Linked DNA regions of Notamacropus eugenii. The protein of the gene in region 2 interacts with the protein of the main gene of each other region in a pairwise test. Links are inferred from orthologs where the notes say so. Each region holds a gene or a part of one and is shown on either strand. Other genes may lie near its edges.

Region 1 (11,116 bases), about 460 Mb from region 2:
TTTTCTGGATCCTGGGTCTAGCCTCTACCTACCAGCTGGAGAATGTCTGCCCAAATCATGGTATGTGAATATAATGCAGTATTATGGTGCTGCAGGAAAAGACAAATACACAAAATTCAGAGAAACCTGGGAAGACTTGGACAAAAAAGGAGGACCACAATGCCAGGTAGAGGCAGCCAATGAAAAACAAGCTGACCACAGATGAAACTAACTGCGTCGGAATCCCAGATGCTGACACACTCTGCTCCCCTAAGAGCTGGAGGTAGGGGTTACAGGTACAGAATAGTGCAGCTGCTTTTGCTCAACTCTTTTTCTTTGTTAGAGGGAAGGGCCAAGGGGAGGGAATGCTGGGTACTCGGAAACAACAGTAGTGTCAAGAACAAAAAGTAATTTATAAAACTTTTTAAAAATTCCATCCTTTTAAATTTGTCCCAGGCCTCTAGACTGTCTAGAACTTTTTGAATATGAATCTCATCACCCAGGGACAGTGAATTCTTTCTGCTGTGTCGGCTTTCAAACTGAGTGCATGTTCTCCATGTTTTTATCCAACACTCTTGTAGAAATGTTAAACTTCAGAGGGTCAAGCATAGATCCCTGGGGCACTCCACTCCAGACCTCCTTCCAAAGTGATGCTGATCCATTAGTAACTATGCCTTGGGTCTAACCATTTAATGAGTCCTCAAAACCATAGCCTGGGCAATGGAAATTTGCATTTGGTTAAACTCCTAGCCCTGCGTAACCTTGGATAAATCATTTCCCCTCTCTGCGCCTCTGCTAACACTTGGCAAACTCTAGGGACCACATCCCTACCCATCACACAGCCCCGGCCCTTTCACTTTCCCTTCTCCAAGGATGGGCAGGGAGGACAGAGAAAGGGGAAAGAATCAGCATTTTTCTATAATGTCTACTCTGCGCCAGTGAGCACTTTCCAGTTATCATCCCACTTAATCCACACAACAACCCTTCGAAGATACTATCATTATTCTCATATTACAGCTGGGGAAACTGAGTCAATAGGAGGTTAAGTGACATGCCCAGGATCACACAGTGAGGCTGGATTTGAACTGAGGTCTTCCTTATTCCTGGCCAAAGCTCTAATCAGGCCATAAAAGCAAGGGCCAGGGGGTCCAAGAGAATGGAAAGGAACTTAGAAGGTGGGGGCTGAAAGGGCTCTGGGAGGGCACCCAGTCCAGCCCCTTCCCTTCATAGATGAAGAAACCAAGGCTCAGATTCGTGAGTTACCCAAAGCAATGCAGTTAGTGGGCATCGGGCTAGGGCTGGAATCTAGGTCTCCTGACTCCTGGGCCAGTCCCCTTTTCACCTGATGCCAAAGGGTTGTCAAAGATGCCAATTATTATTAAGGATGCCCTTACTGATTTCATTTCTAAACTAGCCAAGATCCTATAAGACACATTAAGTGTCTCAAGAGAGGCTTTGTCATGCCATTCTTGTATGTGTGTCGGTGGACATTTCTGTCCTGCTTTTAAAAATGGATAACTTAAATAAACCCCAACACGCATCATTTCTCAATATACCCCACACCAAATTCCCTTGGAATCAAGAAACACAGGGCAAAGCTGATGGTGTATGCCACATTCTGCACCCTCAGCCCCCCTCTCCTCTACTGAGTGGAGATGTACATTTCATCTTCTTTTCTCCAGACCCATCTGGGCTCACCTGGCCTGGCTTTTCAGGTGGTTTTTCAAGCTATTGTTAGTTTTAATAAGCAGACCTTGAATTGGGACTTCTACCCCCATTCTCCTCTCTTCCCACCATGTTTCTCACCCCTCTATCCTAGTCTCAGTTCTGTTCTGCTCAGTGAAATGGTCCCTGCCTCAATGATGACCAGGGTCTTGCTTAACTAGTTGATGGATAGCTGGGCTAGGCCAGACAGAGCAGTCTGGTATCAACTGCCATCCCTTTGTTTTCCAGTGTCTATATCGACCACGTAGCATTTATAGTGAGGGGAATGTGTGTGTGTGTGTATCTGTCTGTGTGTGTGTGTGTCTGTGTGTGTGCACGTGCACACAACATTTCTCCAGCCTTAGAAAGGACACAGAAAGAAGAAAATCAGAAGAGCAACAGCTCCCAGTGTACAGAGCAGGGGCAGGGGGCACAAGTGAGGCAGGAGGTAGTCCAACCCAGTGCCTGTTCTCAGGGGCAGCTCACTCCTACAGCATAAGCTCACCTGGATCTCCTCAAGGAAGAGGTTGGTCTCCACAAAGCTGTTGCACATGAACCCGCCGGGGGCCCGGCAGTTCTGTAGGAAGCGGGATGGATTGGGACGTACCCTGGGGTTGGCCCCCACCAACTCGCAGTAATGGGGAACCAAAGACTTTGGAATCTGAAAAAAGGGTAGGCATGAGAGGGGCCTCAGTGGGTCAGGGAGGACAAGGGGCTGAATGAAGTGAGCGACAGGAGAGATGAGATGACCAGAAAAGGGAGAGAGGTCCATGGCTGAAGGGAGGAAGGCAAGCCCCAGAAATGAGGGGGTATCCTGCGGGCTGGGGGAAACCAGATCCCAGAGACTCACCTTCCCAAGGGAACGCAGGGAGGAGGCCCGGGCCAAGGGGCCATTGAACACCTCCCAGATTAGACAGCCCAGTCTCCACATGTCAGCTGACCTGTGTTGACCCAAAGACAGGACTCAGGGGCCCTCCTGGGCCTGACCATGCTAAGCCAGGTGGCGCCAGGGCTCCCTCCTCCTGCCTCCCCTTTCCTGAATTTCTGCTTTGCTGTGGTACAGCTAGAGGCCAGGGAGAAGGAGCAGGGCCTTCATGCACCAGCACCTCTGGGCTCCCAGGCAGGACACAGTCTCATTCCACAAGGGGCTTGAACCTCCCGCCCATTCAATCCCCCATGCTCACCATTTCTCTCCCACTCCTTTGCTGCTGCTGTCTGTCATCTCAGGTGGGTCATAGCGCTCCAGGTCAGGGATCCCCTTGCGTGGGGGCTCCCCGCTGTCCCCCTGGGCTGAGTACATGTAATCGAGGCCACCCAGCTTCCACTCCCCAGCTCGGTCCACAAAGACGGCCGCCGTACACACATTGTTGTGAATGAGGTTGCAGTCGTTAACCAGGAAGCTAAGGGCTTTCTGTGGGGATGAGATCAGGCTGAGGCATGGTCTGGGAGGCTGGCAGTACCCACCCTCCCCACTCCCCAAAGGGCAAGTCGAGGGGGATCCTCACCACAGTCTGATGCAGCCCCCAGGAGATCTCCAGCTCACTCAGGCCCCCTGTGTCTGCTTTCCACTTCAGGTATGTCCCAAGTGGGGTCACAGGCTCAGTCACCACATGAAGGCATTTGTCAGTCTGGGAGAAGATCCAAGATACAGGTGAGTACAGATCCCAATTCCAGGCCCCTGGACTGAGACAGATGGGAAGTTAGAGACCAGGTTGGTCAAGGTGGGGGAGCCAAGGGTACAGGCTGGGGACACCAGGAGGCTCTGAATAAGACCTGGGGAGATTGCTGGGGGGAGGTGCAGGTCTTAAAGACAAAGGGGGAAGAGAAGAAACAGTGGGAGGGGGACCAAGGTTCAAATCCAGCTCTGTCTCAACTCGCTGTGACCTTGGATAGGCCCCTTCCCCTCTCTGGGCCTCAGTTTCCCCAGGTTAAGACTAGGAAATCTCCCAAGTCCCAATGATCTTATGGGAATAGAAGGGCAGACGTTAACCCGAGGGGGCAGAGAAAAAACAGGAAGTAAGGGTCAAGAAGGGAAACTGAGGGAAGGGGGCAGAGGAGGCGTCTTAGGGGTGCGCCCTGCTGGCCTACCTCCAGCCCATCGATGTAGGCCAGGATGTTGGGGTGCCGAAGGGTTTTGAGCCGCTTGAAGGCTGCCTTGGCCACCAGCGTCTGCTCCTCCTCCCCGGGCTTGGCCTCGAACACGAACACGGACACGGCATTTCCCGTGGCCTGCGGGGAGGCGCGGGCTGGTAGGGGGCCGGAGAGCTTGGGGAGCCCCTGGGCCCTTACTGCCGCCCCTCCCCCGCCCCGGGACACGTGGGGGCTCCGCTGGAGGGGGCAGGGAAGGGGGCCCTCTCCCCGGGGCTGCCCTAGGCCGCGGGGGCCACGTCAGGCCGGGGGCGGGCCGGGGGCGGGGCCGGCCGGACTCCGGCCGTCCCGGCCTCCAGCCAACCAGGCCTGCTCGGCTCGGCCGGGCTCCCGCTCCCGGCCCCGGCCCCGGCCCGTCACCTTCTTCTTGCCGCGGTGCAGCGTCCACAGCCCCGGCCCCGGCGCGCCGCCGCCCTCGGGGGGCTCCGGGCTCAGCTCGTACGGGAAGTCCCGGATCGGGTCCCGGGCGAAGAACCACATTTCCCGCCCGGCCCCGGTTCCGCTCGGGGTCCGGCTCCGGCTCCCGGCTCCGGCTCCCGGCTCCGGCTCCCGGCTCCTGCTCGGACTCCGACTAAGCCCGGGCCCGGCTCCGCCCCCTAGAGGGCCCGCCCCTCCAAAGGTCCCGCCCCTCGCGGCTCCGCCAATGGCGGCCCCGCCCCCGAGGGCCTCCTGCTCCGCTGCCACCCCGCCCTTTCCGCCCCCATTCGGGGGCCTGCCCCCTCGAGGCCCCGCCCCAGGAGCCCGGCGCGCCCTCTTCCGCTCGCTCCTCTGGCCCCGCCTCCTCGAGGCATCTCTTCCTCCTGCCAGTCACAGAGAGGGCGTGTAGGGGCGGGGTCTCGAGGGGCGGGACCTCTTGGAGGCGGGGCCTCTCGGGGGCCAGAGGCAACAGGACGGGAAGGAAGAGGCGGGAGCGAACGAGGAGAGGGGAAACCGGAAGCCGGAAGCGGAAGGGAGAAGCTGCGTTATTACGGCTGACGTTGGCAAATCACCCTGGCGGGGCGTGCACTTAGTAGGTTGTTAATAAATGCCGGTCCGCTCCTTGGCGGGCCGAGCGTCAGTTTATATCGTTCTCGGTTTACGTTGGAGGACACGGCCTTGCCCATGGCCGTCCGAGGACTGGGGTGCACTGGAGAACCGGACCTGGGTTCAGATCCCGCGCGAGGCCCACCTCCCTGCCGTAATCTTGGCGGGTGAGAGTGGGTCCGGAAGTTCAAACGGGGCCTCAGGCACTCACTAGGCGGGTGACCTTGGGCCAGTCACGGCACCCTGCTTGCCTCAGTTTCCCCATCTGTGACATGAGCTGGAGGAGGAAAGGGCCAGCCCCTCCAGTATCTTTGGGGTCACGAAGAGTCAGCCACCACTGGACGGTAGCATGGCACGTTGAGATCTGCAAAGCGCTTTACAAGAGTGACCTCACTTGATCCTCAGACTGGGGCTCTTATCATGCCCGTTTTACAGAGGAAGAAAAGTCACTTGCCCAGGGTCCCACGGCTAGTCTCCGAGGCCGCGGTCAAACTCAGGCCTTCCTAACTCCAGGGCCCATTCCATGGTTAATGGTGAACTTGGTCTGGAGTAGCTCGTAGCTGCCCCAGGGCTCTTTGCATGATCGACAGACACCCCAGGCTCCTAGGGGATGAGCGCTGGCAGGCACCTTTGGGTCAGCTGCTCCGACCTCATTTCAGCAAACTTAGGAGAGCCAGTAAACATAGGGACCTGGTCACTTGTCCAGGTACACCAACCTGGTAACTGATAGAAGTACTAGAAAAACCTCCACAGATGGATGGTCGGACCTCCATCCCAAGGACAGGCAGCCAGGACTCTTGCCTCCTATGCCCTGGGAGTCATAGAATCTGGCAACAGGAAGGGCATCTTAGCCAAAGGTTCCTGAAGCAGGGACCTTTCCTCCAGCCCCCCTTTGTCTGAAGCCCTCCAGGGAGAGGGAGTCCTTGGGAGAGACCATAGGCTGAAAGGCTGGCCATCTGATGGGTAGAGGCCCAGCATCTCCAAAGAATGGCCATTGTTTCCTAACAGATCCAGGGATGGGAAGCCCATTACCTCCTGAAGTTTCCCAGTCCACAGTGGAGAGCAAGCTCAGATTGGTTAGCATCAAGCCAAAGGATGCCTCCTTGCCACCCCAGACCAGGGCCTCATGGTTCTAACCTTTGGGGTCAAGCAGAACAAATCTAGGCCCCCTTCAATTGGGCACAGAAAACATTTGTCTTAGTGTTTACTATGAGCAGGGCTCCTCTTCCTCATGGTGGCCCTTCAGATGCTTGAGAAAGCTCTCCTGCCTCCCACACTCATTAACAAATACATTCCTCTCCCTGGGAATAAAGATCACAGAAGAAAGAAAAAAGCCCCTCAGTCTCATGCGGCAGTATATGAAATCTTCCAAACCTATGGTCCCCCAATTCTCCCCCAGAGAGAGGTACATTTTCTCACCACTTCTGGTGAGTGTGGTTGGTACAACGGATTTTGTTTCCATATCCTTCAGCTTAAAAGATTGTTGCAGTCATCAGGTGGCTCGTTTTCTTCCCATTTCCGCTGAAGATCTATGGTTGACTGTTGGGTGTTCTCTGGTCTCCTCTGACTTGTCAACCCTTCCTGTGACCCCTGCAACAGAGTGCTTCAGATGGCAGCCTCTCCATGGAGAGCCTAAGGAGTCTGCTTCTGGAGAGTTGGGATGGTATGGATCATGAAGGCTGTGGAGAGACTTCGGAGCTTGCATGTATAACCTGTAACTCATTCTGGTCTGCTATCTAGATGGCTAGGGGAAGCATTTGTTGATTGGTTGTATGACCAGACCTGGGAGTATCTTCAAAAAGGCCCCAGGCAGCTGTGGCCACATCTCCTTGGCTATGTTTAATCCCAGTGTACTCTTGTTGGATCTTGTGGCCAGTGAGAGATGGTCAGGCCAGCTGAGAAGCGCTTTACAAATATTATCACAACCACCCTGGGAAGTGTGTGCTGTTATTATCCTCAGTTTGCAGATGAGGAAACTGAGGCAGATAGAGCTTATGCAGCTAGAAGTGTCTGAGGCTGGACTTGAACTCAGGCCTTCCTGACTTCAGAGCCAGGGCTCTGTGTACTATGGTGCCACCAATTGCCAGCATCCCAGGAGCCAACTTAGCATCTTCTCTATCAATGCCCTGAGGAACAAGGAGTGACCTTTGGGACCCAGGCCAGGAGATGTTAAGACAGGGACTCACTCATTGAGCAGTCCTGCCAGAGCTAGGCCTGACCTTGGCAGGGTCAAGGTTATATAGAAACTGAGCCTACTCCCTGCCTGTTCTTTGGTTCTTTCTGTGTTTTTGGAGTGAATATTTGTTTGTAATTGATGGTAAGTAGTTAAATGGAATTAAGGAGATAGTGACTGGAACTAGTCACAGAGTCAACTGGTGGTATTATAGTGGATACAGCACTGGGCCTAAGGTCAAGAAGGCCTGACTTCAAATCCAGCTGCAGACACTTCTAACTGTGTGATCCTGGGCCAGTCATTTACCCTCTCTCTGTCTCAGTTTCCTCAACTATGAAAATGGAGATAAATCATATCACCCGCCTCTCAAGGTTGTTGTGAAGATCAAATGGCACATAGTAGGCTCCATATAAATGCAAGCTATTATTAATAGAGGGTGGAAAACATAGAAGAGCAACCACACAACATTTGGGACCTCTTCAAGCACAAAGAGCAACAACCAACCAACCTCCTTGGAATGCCGATTTGAGGAAGAGCCCATGCCAGCCACACTTCCTTCAAGTCTGGATCAGCCTGCCCCTTGCCTCTGCTGCTTTTGGGTTCTCTGTCCCCCGCTTTTCAGCTCACTTCTGTCATCCATCACTGGGATGGAAGCTAGCTTAGGGGAAGGCTCTGATTTGTCCCTCTAGTGCTCGGCTCATAGCAGTAGGTACTTAATAAACGTGCGCTCTATGTATCCATCCATGCAGCTCTAGTTTTTTCCTGAGTTATAGCCCTGCATCACCAGCTCTCTACTGGATATTTCCAGGTGGACATCCCTGAAGGACAGTGGCTAGCAAGGCACTGCTCAGCTGAGGCTACAGACGCCCATGACCTTTGGTGATCTCTATCCTTTCTCTGCCATCCCAGCATTCCAAGGGTCAGCTCTAGGGGAGGTAGCTGCCTCATTTTCACATTCATCACCCCACCATAGCTTCCTGAGAAAAACCGCCCTTTGGAGTAATGTCACCTTGGGTTCTAATCCAGAATTTCTCCAAAGAAAGAGGTTGAGGGAGGAGGAAAGTTAAAAAAAGAACCCTCAAAAATGCACATATTAATCAGGTATGAAGGTATGAAACAGGCTTATTATCAAACAGAATTGAGGATGAAGAAAGAATCATTGTGTGGTTGTTGTCCAGTTGTTTTCCAGTCATCCAACTCTTGGTGACACCATTTGGGGTTTTATTGACAAAGATATTGGAGTGCTTTGCCATTTCCTTCTCCAGCTTGTTTTACAGATAAGGAAACTGAGGTAAGCAGGGTGAAGTGACTTGGCCAGGGTCACACAGCTAGGAAATATCTGAGGCTGGATTTGAACTCAGGATGATGAGTCAGCCAGACTCCAGGCCCAATACTCTGTGCACTATGGCGCCACTTGGCTGCCAATTGTATGGTACAAGATGATTACCTTGACGTGTCTAGTACAATCCATTGAGAGGCAAACATTCAAGCTTCTTGGAGCATAAATGTTTTTTGCAGAGTGTTAATTATTCAGTCAGATCAAACCAAGAAATGTCTCCTTTCTGGTAGCTTCATCACTGGGATGCTGCCCTCTTGCCAGAACACTGCCAACACAGTCTATCTCCAGGACCACTGTACCAGAAGCCAGTCCCTCAGGGTGCTGGCCCCTCAGTTATCCCAAGGAAGAGGAAGCACAAAGGCAGCCAGAGGAAAAAGATATAGAGAAGGGAGGCGAGGCCAACAGGCTACATGGGTGACATTGCTGTGGCAGTGAATAGGGAGGGACCTTGGTTCCCCCATCCCTCACTGGCATCGAATCCGGTGTACTGGATCGAAAGGGGGCACCATCAAGCAGCCTGGAGCCTCTTCTTCAATCCCATCCAGTGCCCCGGCCCATTTCTGCTGGGGGAGGCCACAAGATGGCATTGCCACTACCCTTGAGTCATCCCTCCCTGCCATCTCCCAACCTGCCCTTGGCTAAGAATCTGGCCCCAGGTTCAGCAGAAGTCTAGAGATATGATCTGGAATATAGCCCAAATTACTAAAAGTATGAAATTGAAATCCCTCCGATCCCTTCCAGATCCCCTCCCAAGGGCCTTCATCAGACAACCCCTCCACCCCCATTAACTGGATGCAATAAGTCACTTTTTTTCCTTCTTAAAAAACATTTGAAAATGGTGAATTCAACTATCACTGGCAATTCAAAACATTTCAAGATAAGAAAAGCAGCACATCATATGCTCTGTATATTAGGTTGACCTTCTTTAGTGCAGGAAAGATTGTTTACTTACTATATGCACACGCAGAGCTGTAATCTCTCCATTGCACAGTTACTCTATTTCACAAGGTAGTATGGTTATTCTAACTATTGTCCCTTGTTAAGAATTTCATACCTGAAGTTTTGGAGAAGGCCTCTTGCTGTTATATCTATGCATCTTTGGGGGTTTACAGAAGAGATTTTATTCTTTGGAGGTTGTAGAGGGACCATTTTTAAAAACCTACATTGGGGAAACTCTACAACTATGTCTAAAATTTTGGGGCTTGTTTTTGGTTTTTAGCAATAAAGTAGCATGAGCTGAGAATGCACTGGAAAGAAAAGATAGAGCAGGGCAGAGAGACACTATCACCACTGGCTAATGAGGAAATATATTTTGCCTGATTTTATCTGTGTGGCATGAAAGGCATTGCATTTCTTGCCTTCTCATTTGGTGGGGAAGGGAGTGGAGAGGAGAGAATTTGGAACTGAAAATCAAAAGTTTTAAAAAGAAATGTGTGGACAATTCACTCTTGATAGTCATGTGACTTATTCATCTACTCAGAGAGAGCCTAGAAACCCAAACAAACAGTGAAAATCAAGGCAGGCTTTCTGGGGGTGACTCAGGCTGTTGTCCTTGGTTGGGATGTTCCTCCCAGGCTGTCTGAGGGAGGGATGAAAGGAAAGGATGAGAGGCACATTCTGGACCTCCTGGAGCCTTCCTCATTCTGAGGAAGCAGCCAAATGTGCAACAGCACCTGAAGAGGAGCAGAGATGGAGATGGAGGGAAGGGGGGTGGTGGCAGGGAGAGCGAAGGTGTCGCCTACATTTGGAGTTTGAGGAGGCACAGAATGAGAAGCCCAGGGATTCAAGGAAGGGGAGGATAAAAGATTCGGAAGGGTTATGGCAAAGGGAGAGGGGGAAGGAGGAGGATCAGGGTTTGCATCGTGGAGTTAGAACATGTGAGGAATGGTCAGATCGCAGGCATGACCATGGTTGTCCCAGGGGACATCAGCATGTATTTTGATGTCCTGAGGGAGGCATGCAGAGGTGTACCAGATTTTCTCTTTGAGAAACAGAGGGGAGAATGACCTAAGGTCAGGAGGATTCACTTTACACCCCAGTTTGGCAGAGATGACCAAAAACTTAGACCGTCTGTGCCAGAGGTGCCGACACACAGCTATGAGACAGCAAATTGGAGTAATCGTTTTAGATAAGTTTGGAATGAGGTAAGAAAGGTCACCAAACTGCCCCGCCTTTAACCCAGAGATCCCACCACCGGCCCTAGACCCAAATGAAGGCAAAGACAGACACAGAAACCCAGTATATACTGAGACAGTCAAGGCAGGACCCTTTGTGGTGGCAAAAACGAAACAAACAAACAAAAACCCTGGAAATGAACCAAAGGCTTATCTTGGAGAATAGGTGAAAAACAATTTATGAATGTAATAAAAGAAAGGGCTGCTAGGGGGCGCCATAGTGCACAGAGCACCTGGTCTGGAGTCAGGAAAACTCATCTTCCTGAGTTCAAATGTGGTCTGGGACATTGACTAGCTAGGTGACCTTGGGCAAGTCAAGTCACTCTGCCTCAGATTCCTCACCTGTAAAATGAGCTGGAGAAGGAAATGGCAAAGACACTCCTGTGTCTTTGTCAAGAAAATCCCAAATGGGGTCACAAAGAGCCAGGCGCAAGTGAACAACCTGAAGGTAACAGAAGTTTCTTCTCCTTTAGGTCTTCTTATCTCTTTGGACAGGACTCAGAAATGATCCTGGGACAAGTCATTATTCTGCAATCACTTTTTTTAATATTTAACATTGGATCGTATCCCAAATAG
Region 2 (10,373 bases):
CACACAAGCAGGCCCACTCTGAAAGCTGAAGAGTGAGCAGTTTTATATATGTTACAAAGATGATATCCAAATTTCTTAGTAGCAGGGCTCTGCATGTTCTCAGAATAACTTCTCCTTTCCACTATATTTCTAGGTCAGAACACAAGACATTAAGCTCCAATTTCCCTAAAATCCAATGATAAAGTAAGAACAAAGGGAACAAATGGAATCATTTGGTTACATAGACTTACTAACAATTCCACTTTCTTTTTTTCCAATTTACAGTTTGGTTTTGGAGTAACAGTCTCATCCTTTTTATCAGCATTATTATAGGAATTCTCAAGTCCGGCTTTTTTCTTCTGATTTCCAATGCTCTGACACTTTTCCTTTTCGCCAGGAGAGTTGAGAAGAGGAGGAGATGGGTGAGGCTGCTGAGAGTCAGCTCTGCATTTTGGCGCAGAAAGCAACTGCTCTGGAGGAACTGCTGCTGTACCATCCTCAAGTCCAAGCTTCTGGCTTTGCTGCTGAAGAGCCTTTTCACGCTGTAGCTGCTGTCGACTTTTGCTCACAGGGTGACGCCTTTGCCGATCAGCAGTCTCAAATGGATCTATATATAATACAAGGAAAAAAAATTATATGAGAGTAGCGGATTATAAATTACTTTTTACAAAAGAAAAAAACAAAACACATTAACACTTCAGTAGAAACCAAATTTTAGGTCTCATTTTTTTAATTCTTTTATACTGCACACACAGTGGTAAAAAGTACTTTTCTAGTTCTGTCTTAAACAGTACTCATGCCCCACTTTTGGTGCTCAATAAAAATTCCCCATATAGCCAATTCTGAAATTTAACCACATGCAGGTAAGCTGCCTGTAAATTACACTTCAAAAAGATCTGTTATTTCATCTCTGTGAGTAATCACACCGTTCTTGTTGCTGTGTTTGTCCTTTGTTCTTGAAGAGGACCATGACATCAAGATGATGACATGACTTGCAGTTGACTTGGCTTTGAGTGAAGTCGCCAACCTCACTTTCTTCTCCTGAGCCATCCGGGTCCAATGGCCTGATATTCATCAGGACAGCTGCAGATGGCCCAGGATGCAATAAGAGACTCTGGCCCTTTCAGGCTAAGGTCTTATAGCTTTCTCACTTTGAGTGAGATACACCCATTCAATGAATTAAAGCCAACTACAAACAGCCTGGGCTTTAGCAGATGGTTTTAAGAGTCCCCCATGGTCAAAAGTCAACACTGTTTAATGACCAGGCAAGCCTTAATAATGTCATCTTAGCTCTATTTGATTGAGATGTCATTGTCTTGCATTGACTGAAAAAGAGAAATTCTATAGATTGTCGACAAGATCGTCCAAACAAAAAATCAACATACATCTTGATATTTGATATTAAGTGGGACAGTAGAAATGGGGAAAGCAGTAAATTCAATATTTAGAAAAGTACACTAGTATATATGGTTTAAAATTAAGAACTGAAAGAGGCCATGGCTTGTAGGCTTCTCAGAAAAAGCATGCCAGTATAATCATCTTTTTTTCTTTAAAGAGTTAGAGGGTACTAGCATGAAAATACAAGAACAAAAATAGTATCATTAAAAATGAAATTACATACATTTACACAGTACATGATAGCAGTAGCTAACATTTTACACAACACTTTAAGGCCTGTGCATGGCTTTATATATTATCTCAACACACACACACCAGTTCCTTGAAACAGATAAAATTCTAACTAGTTCATATATTCCACATTCATTCTACCTCATCTAATTAACATGACTACCACTCCCTTCTACTTCCCATCTCTCTAAACTAAAATTAGAAGCATTTACTTAAGGCTCATACAGTTCCCCCCACAAACTCTATTAAAGACAAAAATTAAAGATATGTCTAGTTCCTCCCTTTTCTCCCCACTTTGGGACCTTTAACTTCTAGACACACAGACCTGTGATAGATATATGTTGTTACTAACCCTCTCCCTAACTTTCCTATTGAGAGCACCAGTATGAGTAAACCAGGTTTACAACCCTGGGGTTGTGACCACTCAGTTGCCAGGTTTTGTTGACTGTACTGCTACAACTTATCTGCCCTCTTTTCTTCATTCACAAAGTCATCATCCTAACTCAACACTACATCACCTACCTCTCCTCTAGTGACTAACAGAACAGAGTCTCACTTGGACAGTCTCCTTGCTTCTTATCTTCCTCACCATCCTGTATATATGAGATATTACTAAAGCAGAGATCTGATCATGTCACTCCTCTACTCAAGAAGGCCTAATAACTCCCAATTACTTCTAAGACAAAATACAAACACTTGCTTTGGCAAGCATTTTTTATGATATAATTCTATATTTGCGTAATGTGCATGCCAGTGCAGAAAGAAATCCAAATGACAGACTGGCACACTGTTGCTGGGTTACCCATGCTATGGCCTCTTTCGTTTCTTGATTCCAAACTGCTATTATCTTTACATGATGATTGCACTATGTAACCATATTACTCTCCTACTTAATACACTCCAGTAGTTCCCTACAACCTGTGGAATCAAATACAAAATCCTGTTCAACATTCAAAGTCTTTCACAACCTAGTTCCCTCCACCTTTCCACTATACTCCTCAATTCAGCCACACTGGCCTCTTGGTAATTCCACTTCTCTGCTCCAGGCATTTTCTTAGACTGTCCCCCAGGCCTGGAATGCTTTTCCTCCTCAACTGGCTTCAAGTTCCAACTAAAATCCCACCTTCTACAGAAAGCCTTTCCCAATGGATCACAATTCTAGCGCCTTTCTTTTGTTAATTATTTCCTGTTTATCCCATGTATAGCTTGGTAGTATATATTTGTGTGTAGTCTTCTCCTTTAGATCATGATCTTAAGGACAAGGACTGTCTTGTATCTTTCACTGTACCTTCATGGCACATGTGCCTGGCAAACAATAGACATTTAATGCTTATTGACAGACTGAGATTGATTTGCTTCAAAAATTCTCATGTTCCAGTTAAACCTGCCTACTTGTTGAGCATTGCCCCAAAACACACACACACACACACACACACACACACACACACACACACACACACACACACACACACACACACACACCCATACCCATTCTCTTTACCTCCAAATACCTCTCCATGCCACTCCACAAAAACTGATCTTAGGAAGATATAGGGCTGACCATGACATCCTCTTATCCAATGGCTCCCTAGGACCTCCAGGTTTAAAAATAAAATCCTCTGGAATTAAAATCCCTTCATAATCTGCCTCCCCTCCCTACCCCCTTTTTTCTAGTCCTTTTTTCTATTCAATTCCACAAACATTTCTACCTTCCTTCCTTCCTTCCACGTAGTTACTCTGGCTTCCAGGCTGTTCCTCAAACAGGTCACTCCACCTCCATACCTACAGCACTGATCTCTCCAGGCTTCCTTTAACTCCAAGCTAAAACTCCCACTTTTTACAGGAAGACTTTTCTTATCCCTTTAAGTCTAGTGACTTTCCTCTAAGATTATCTCCCATTTATCCCGTATGTATTTCATCTGTACATCCACTGTTACACTGTGAGCACCTGGAGGGGCAGGGATACATTGTATCACTCTTTCTATCCCCAGAACTCAGCCCAGTGCAAGGACAGTAAGTGCTTAACATAGCCTTGCTGACCAACTAACCCTAACTAGGCCACTGGAATTTCTGATCCGCCCTCCCCTCCGTGTGTATTTATTTCACATATACTTTTTATTTATACGTGCACATATTTTCATTTGATAGTCAGCGTCCTGGGGGAGGGGAATGTTCAGCTTTTGCCTTTGGATGCTCAGTGCTTCCAGCAAGCACTTAATAAAAGCTCTGCCTACCTATCACGCTTACCACTGGTGCCTGGCATACAGTAAGAGCTTACAGACCCACCGACCCTAGCTTTCTTTAAAGCTTCTCTTACGCACCCCTCCCCCACCGTTCGTGTTTATTTCACAAATAATTCACACTTGGACACATTTGATGGAAAGCTGCCTGAGGGCAGGGATGCTTGCCTTTGCCTTATATACTCAGCGCCTCCAGCAAGTGCTTAATGGAAGCTCCATCTACCCATCTAGGGGGCCTCCGGCTGTACCTGGTACACAGCAGGAGCTTAATGTTTGCAAGCATGACTCGTCTCCGCCAAAGTGTCGCTCACCCTTCTTCTCCGGACCCAGCCCCGCCCCCTCTTCTCCTCCAGGACCGAAAGGATAGAGCCATCTCCCAGCTCGTTACCTTTGTTCTGCCGCAACCTCCGCAGCTCCTCCTCGGAGAAGCCGGCCCATCCTTGCGCCATCCGCCCGCGCCTCTCCGGGGCTCCCCAGGGCTCCCGGAGCCTTCGAGGAAACCCGGCTGCCAACGCGACCGCTCCACAGAGTCAGGGCCTTCGCCGGCTGGGGCCATCCGCTTAGCCAATCAACGCGCCGCAAACAGAAACAAGCCCCACCCCACCCCGGCTCCTTCGCGTTCCCTCTGAAGCAGGTATGTTTAGGTGGCCGTAGCTCTGCCTGAGTAGATACCACGAGAGATCTGCGCAGCATACATTCCCCAGCACACCCTGTACCTCTTCACCTCCCTTCCTCCTCTCCCTCTCGCTGTAGTTATCTGTAACAAAAGGAAATCCTCGTGGCGCTTCGGAATAATGTTAAGTTTCTTGTCAGGCTTTTTACGGGTGATCTGGAGGGGCGGAGTCAGAGAAGCCGGAAGGGGCGGGGCTATGCCCTTGCCTTTTAGTATTTGTGGGGCCCGCGGGCCGCGTCTTTTTCATCCTTGTCTAGGGGACGGTCTTACCTGGGTCTTTCGTATTGTTGCTTGGCGTGTTTCAGATCAGCGAGATTTTAGATTTTAGACCAAAACCTCGTGTAGACTTAGGCCTTCAAACAAAAACCCAAACAATGGGGCTTTCTTTCTGTCTCTCCCGGTTCTGCTTGTGCTCTTGCCTCCTTGTGTTTCTCCCTCCTCCTCTCGCCTGCTTCCTGTCCTCTGCTTTCTTGCTTAGGCTGTCTTCCAAATCTCGGGCCTTCTGGTATTTGTAGGGAAAGCAGCGGGGATTTCAGAGTCTTTTCTGCAAGTGCTATGTAAAAGTCTGTCAAGCGCTTTGCGTGTCTCGAAGCGCTACATAAGTGGCAGTTACTATCACATGACGTCATTATTCTTGAGGGTCCACTCAGGGCCCCCGAGGTGGGGATGACAAGATAAAGGGCAGTAAGGTCGGAACCAGGGTGGCATGGTACCACTTGGAGCTGTCTTCCTTGTCCGTGAAATATGGGGGTAGAATTAAACGACTTTTAGACCACCAGCTGCAGTCTGGGATGCCATGAAAACTTTGAGAAGGAGGAAAGCATGTGTTGAGTGGGTGAAGGAAGGTGTGGTGGGAGCTCACTTGAGGAGAGCAGCTTTATAGGACATGGAAGCTATGGTGGAAATTCGGGGTTTGGGGGTCAACTGAACTGCTTGGGCAGAGGGAAAATGAGATGTTTAAAGCCTCAAAAGTGTTTTGTTGGTCTGTCTTTAATTCGGGCTGATAAATTATGCCAGTTTAGATACCTATCTCTACAAGGATGTGTCCCATGATTTTAAGATTGGGTTGGTTTTAAGGAAATAAATTCATTCAGAAACTGATTAAAGACCGAAGAAGCTCAAGACGCAGCTAGCTGCTGTAACTGTAACATTCTTGTTCTCTAGTCATTTTTAGGACATGGGAGGTGAGATGTGTGTCTTAAATAACTTCTTCCAAGAGAGTGAGATTTGGGAGGGAAAAGACCCAAAGTATTATAAGAAATCAAAGGAGGGAAAGATGTGAGGCTTTGCCAAATATGTGTTGTCAGAACACTTTGTCCCAATTTTTAGTTCAGAGAACCTGCCATCTAAATGATGAGAAGAATAACTGTTAACTACAAGGAATCACGTTTTTCATTGTACTTAGTGTAGTTTTTTTCAAGTTTTATTTACAGAGGATTACACTGAGCTGAAATGCAAAAAACTAAAATGAAGGAACAACATAGAAATGATTTTTGCCCTAACCCCCAAGAGCCCAACAGAGTTGCTCTTCTAGGCCACACTTGATGAATGAGGGTAAACCCCTGGTTGAAAGTTTTTCTACATTTGTTGCATTTTTTTAATTAATTTTTTTTATCTGATGATGAGTAAGATCCTTGTCTATGAAAAAGCTTTGAGCAGAAGTATACCATAATTCAAATTTTAGAATAAAATCTTAAGTACCTGCCATATGTAAGGCACTAGACTTGGCATTTGGACATAATAAAGTATATTCAGGAGGGAGAGTACCTTAGTTGAAGAGATATGGAAGGATTTGGAGGAAGAATGAATTTTGGGAAAGCCTGCACTGTTCCTTCTTTTTTAACATGACTTGATTTGAAAAATTAACAAGTTTTTAAGGCATGAAGCTATCAACACATTAATTGATTTGTATTTGCTAAAAAACCTCCCATAACTTAAATATAAATTCTTTTGGAAACAATTTATCTGAGAACCTGGATTGTAACACATCACACGAGGTCTAATGGGAGGCATTGAGGGTGGCTATCAAGGAAAGATTTGGAGATCTAGTTGCTTATTGTGTAGCTTGTGTGGTACTCTGAAAGGGAACATCCTGTAGTTAAAAATTGTGGTGGACTAGGAGTTAAGTAGACCTAGATTCACATCCTCGATGATTTCCTCATGTAATCTTTGTAACATCATTTAACTTCTCTTAGCTTCATTTTCCTTGGCTGTAAAATAGGGATAATACTTGCAATATCTACCTCACTGGGTGACAAGGAAAGTGTTTTGCAAATCTTAAAGAGCTATAGAAATGTGTTATTTCTCCAGGCATTTTATATCCTATAGTTGTTTCTTTCTCAGAAAGTAACATGCTTGGCTGTATCAATCCAATCCCATATAGCAATGGTTTTACTGAGTTAGGCATTTTGAAAGAGTCAGTATGAGAATTCTGTTCATCCTTGTGAAGTACTAGTTAAGGGTGTTTTCCATTCATTGTCCTTATAGGAACCATCATGATAAACTGCATTATTTAGCATTAAGAGAATTTTTTTTTAATGAAACTACTCTATTGTCAGAAAAAGAAACTTCACTTTTTTGTGAATTTCACTTTTTTTTTGTCTTCTGGAAAACTTAAGAGCCAAATCCAGTAATTAACTCAACCCAAGTAATTGATGACCTCTACAGCTGTTTCAAACTATCTCAGACTCTCTTGGAAGCAAGATGGCAATATATTTTAAATAGCAAACTGTTAACAATTTAATTAAACAAGTATTTATTAGGTACCTAGTGTGAGTCAGGCACTTCTAGGCTCTCCCTACAGAGATAGAAATGAAGTTCTACATTCCATAGACTTGTCAAAAAGGACTTTTGTTAGCAGATGTGTTTCACATCTGGGTAAAACTGGATATATGGAAATCCAAACTTTAAAAAAGCAAATAGGGACATCAAGAAGGATTTTCTCCCCTTTTTAGCAGACTAATGTCTATTTCCTTTAAATCATGAGTCCATGCTTTTAGAATAGGAGTCACATTATTACTTCAGTAGTAAAATGTTGTATGAAGTAAATGCACACACTTTAAAGCAAAATGAATGATTCAACTAACTTTTCCCTTTTACCTCAAATATTAAATAGCAACGGTAGAGCTCTAGCCAAAAACTTACCCTTACTCTTGGAGTTTTTTTTTTTTCCTAGAGTGAATACTGGTAATAGGTAAGCTTTCCAAAAATTGTTTACTATAACAACATCTTAATAGTGATAAATAAGGGATTTAGAGAATACAAGATTCCACAATGTCTGCTGACAACCTAAAATTTAAAAAAAAAAGCCATAGAGCAAAAAAATAAAAAATGGCTCAGAAGTACTCTCCTCCAACAAGGCAGTTCCTATGTATATGTTAAAATTTATACATAAATTTCTCATAAGATCACAAGGCAAATTTCTTACACTAAGTTTTTTGATAAGATTCGATCACTAAGAGCTTTCATCAATCCCAACTATCAATTTCAAGTGAATATACAATAGATAACAAAGGTGCTTCAATAGTACCTCTAATATGACACAATCACAATCCAAGTGGAAGGAAGATGGAGGCATGCCGGTTTCATCAAGCCCCAAAATATTAAAGGTCTTCTTTAGTGGAGTGTGTGGTCACTCAAAAGAATTTGACATTTTGTCTGCATGGGAAAAGTAAGTGAATGAAATAAGAATACTATGTAGATCATTATTAGATGGATAAGTGTATGAGTAGTAGGAAAATAATTGTAGAAAATCCTGTGTTGAGGCCAAGCTAAAATGCTGCTTTTTTGGTAAAACCTTTCATGGTTTGGCTCCATCACCTTCCAAAAATGTCTATGTCATCCAGACTCCTAGATTGTACCACTTTTATGGTATATCATATTTCCTTGTATTTGTGTATATATCTTTATTAAACTAAGCAAGTATCCTTTGATTTCAGGTACAAATTTGGTAGGAATAACTAACACATGGAATGAAGAGGTCAGGATCCAAAAACATCCTGATGTGCTACAGTGATGGGCCTATATTGTTTATAGAACAAAGGAGTCAATAGTGCCCCTGAGCTATACCCTGATCAGGTCATGTGTTCATTTCTTGGAGAGGACATTAACAAACCATAACGTCCTCCAAACAGAATCGTGAAAGACCTAAAAACCATGGCGTTCAAGGATCATTGAGAGGCTTAGCCTGGAAAAGACCTTGGATGAGAAGGGTGATAGAGAAGGGACATAGGACTTACAAGCATGAAACGCTGTGTTTCCTTCACTCCAGAAAGTAGTACTTGGACTAAGGTGAACGTAAGGGAAAACTTCATATCAGAGGTATCCCAAAGTGAAATCAGTTTCCTTAGAAGGTAAAAAGACAATGTTACAGAAAGTTTTCAGGCAACATTTAGACCAATGGTGTCAAACTCAAATAGCTAATCAGTACATAAGGATCCCTGCAGGCCATATATTGACTTAGTTTTAGAATGCAATATTATCTATGCTTTATAGTTTTATTGTTTATATTTATTACTTACTTATTTTGTTAAATATTTCCCAATTTTATTTTAATCTATTTCAACCCACTAAAGAGGGTTGTGTTTGAGACCTCAGGTCTTAATGGCTGCTTGGGGATATTCTGCTACAAGGATTGGTTGACAGAATCAGTGATTTTTTGGAGTCTAAAATATAACAAATACAAACTCAGTGGAAGGAAAGAAATGTCAATAATGATGGAACTATGACTGGGAATTTATCTCATTTATGCAACTTTTTCTCCAGAGGGGTATAAGCATGGACATAGGATCTTAGATCCTTTGGATTATATAGAAGGGATGGCAGAAAGGTTAGTTGGCTAGATGAGCTCCTTGGGGTACCTTCCAGGAAAGATCATATAAATCTGTAGGGCCTTAGAAATCCATAATATATCCATATTATAGGAAATGAGTGTGTTCCAGTGAGGTAGGAATGGTGACATAAATTAAATCCAGACTGCATATAGCCTTAAATGTGATTGCTTTATCTGTAAAGATAAAATTAACAAACAAGAGTGTCCCAAACAAAATTGTGAAAGGCCTCCTGGGAAGTGTAAGTGTATTGTTAAAGTAGATAAATATCTTGAATGTTTTTAAATACTTAATAAAATACTTTCTCTTCAATTGCCGTTCACAGGTAGAGGTGATCTGCTCATAAACTTGTCACTCTAAATAAGCTGGTAACTTTAAGCAACTGTTGCCCTAGGCTGCCATACCTTATCAGGTTTAATTAGGCCTTTTTTTTTTTAAAATGAGGAATTTGGTAACCTGCTTGACCCAAGGTCACACAGGTAGTGAGCTGTGAGCCAGGGTCAGGTGTGTATAGATAAGATCTCCAAGGGGAAAGGATGGAGTAAGGCAGAGCCACAGTAGAAGTTAAGTGGAATGTTTATAATAGTAAGAAAAGTCTCAGGGAAATTGATGATGTCAGATAAATGAAAAAGCATTAAGTACTTACCATTTGTCAGAAACTTTGCTAAGTACTAGAACCAGAAATATAAAAATTAAATCATTCTGTTCCCCCAAAAGTTTATATTTTAGAAGAAAAAAGTAGCACATACAGCTAGAGGAGCATACAGGAAGGTGTTTTGGTCAGAAGTTTCAGAGTTGGTGAGCGATGTGATAGGGTGTTTAACAGCCCTTTCTAAGAACGGTTCTACTAGTTTGATTATTGTTTCCAGAGCCAGAGCTGAGGTGGGGATATTGAATTGATATGGTAGGCTAGGAGTATAGTTTCCTTAGATTTTAGCAGAATATTTAAGTTTCTCATGCTATTTAGTCATGCAGACTAAATAGTAAAATTAAATGGACATGAAATTAGTTGAATGGTTGCAT

The links. The genes of interacting proteins can lie anywhere in the genome.
Region 1: the proteins of GORAB (region 2) and SCYL1 interact in a two-hybrid assay, tested with the Homo sapiens proteins (2 studies listed by BioGRID and IntAct). The link is inferred for Notamacropus eugenii from reciprocal best matches to the Homo sapiens genes GORAB and SCYL1.

Annotation. Positions count from the first base shown.
Region 1 is NC_092873.1:18,292,155-18,303,270, reverse strand, and holds the start of SCYL1 (N-terminal kinase-like protein), read right to left. Parts: upstream 4,441-11,116; 5' UTR 4,312-4,440; coding exon 4,192-4,311; intron 3,913-4,191; coding exon 3,772-3,912; intron 3,312-3,771; coding exon 3,189-3,311; intron 3,095-3,188; coding exon 2,868-3,094; intron 2,625-2,867; coding exon 2,534-2,624; intron 2,345-2,533; coding exon 2,189-2,344; intron 1-2,188. UniProt on the Homo sapiens protein: Regulates COPI-mediated retrograde protein traffic at the interface between the Golgi apparatus and the endoplasmic reticulum. Involved in the maintenance of the Golgi apparatus morphology.
Region 2 is NC_092873.1:475,863,822-475,874,194, forward strand, and holds the start of GORAB (RAB6-interacting golgin), read right to left. Parts: upstream 4,703-10,373; 5' UTR 4,298-4,702; coding exon 4,237-4,297; intron 587-4,236; coding exon 235-586; intron 1-234.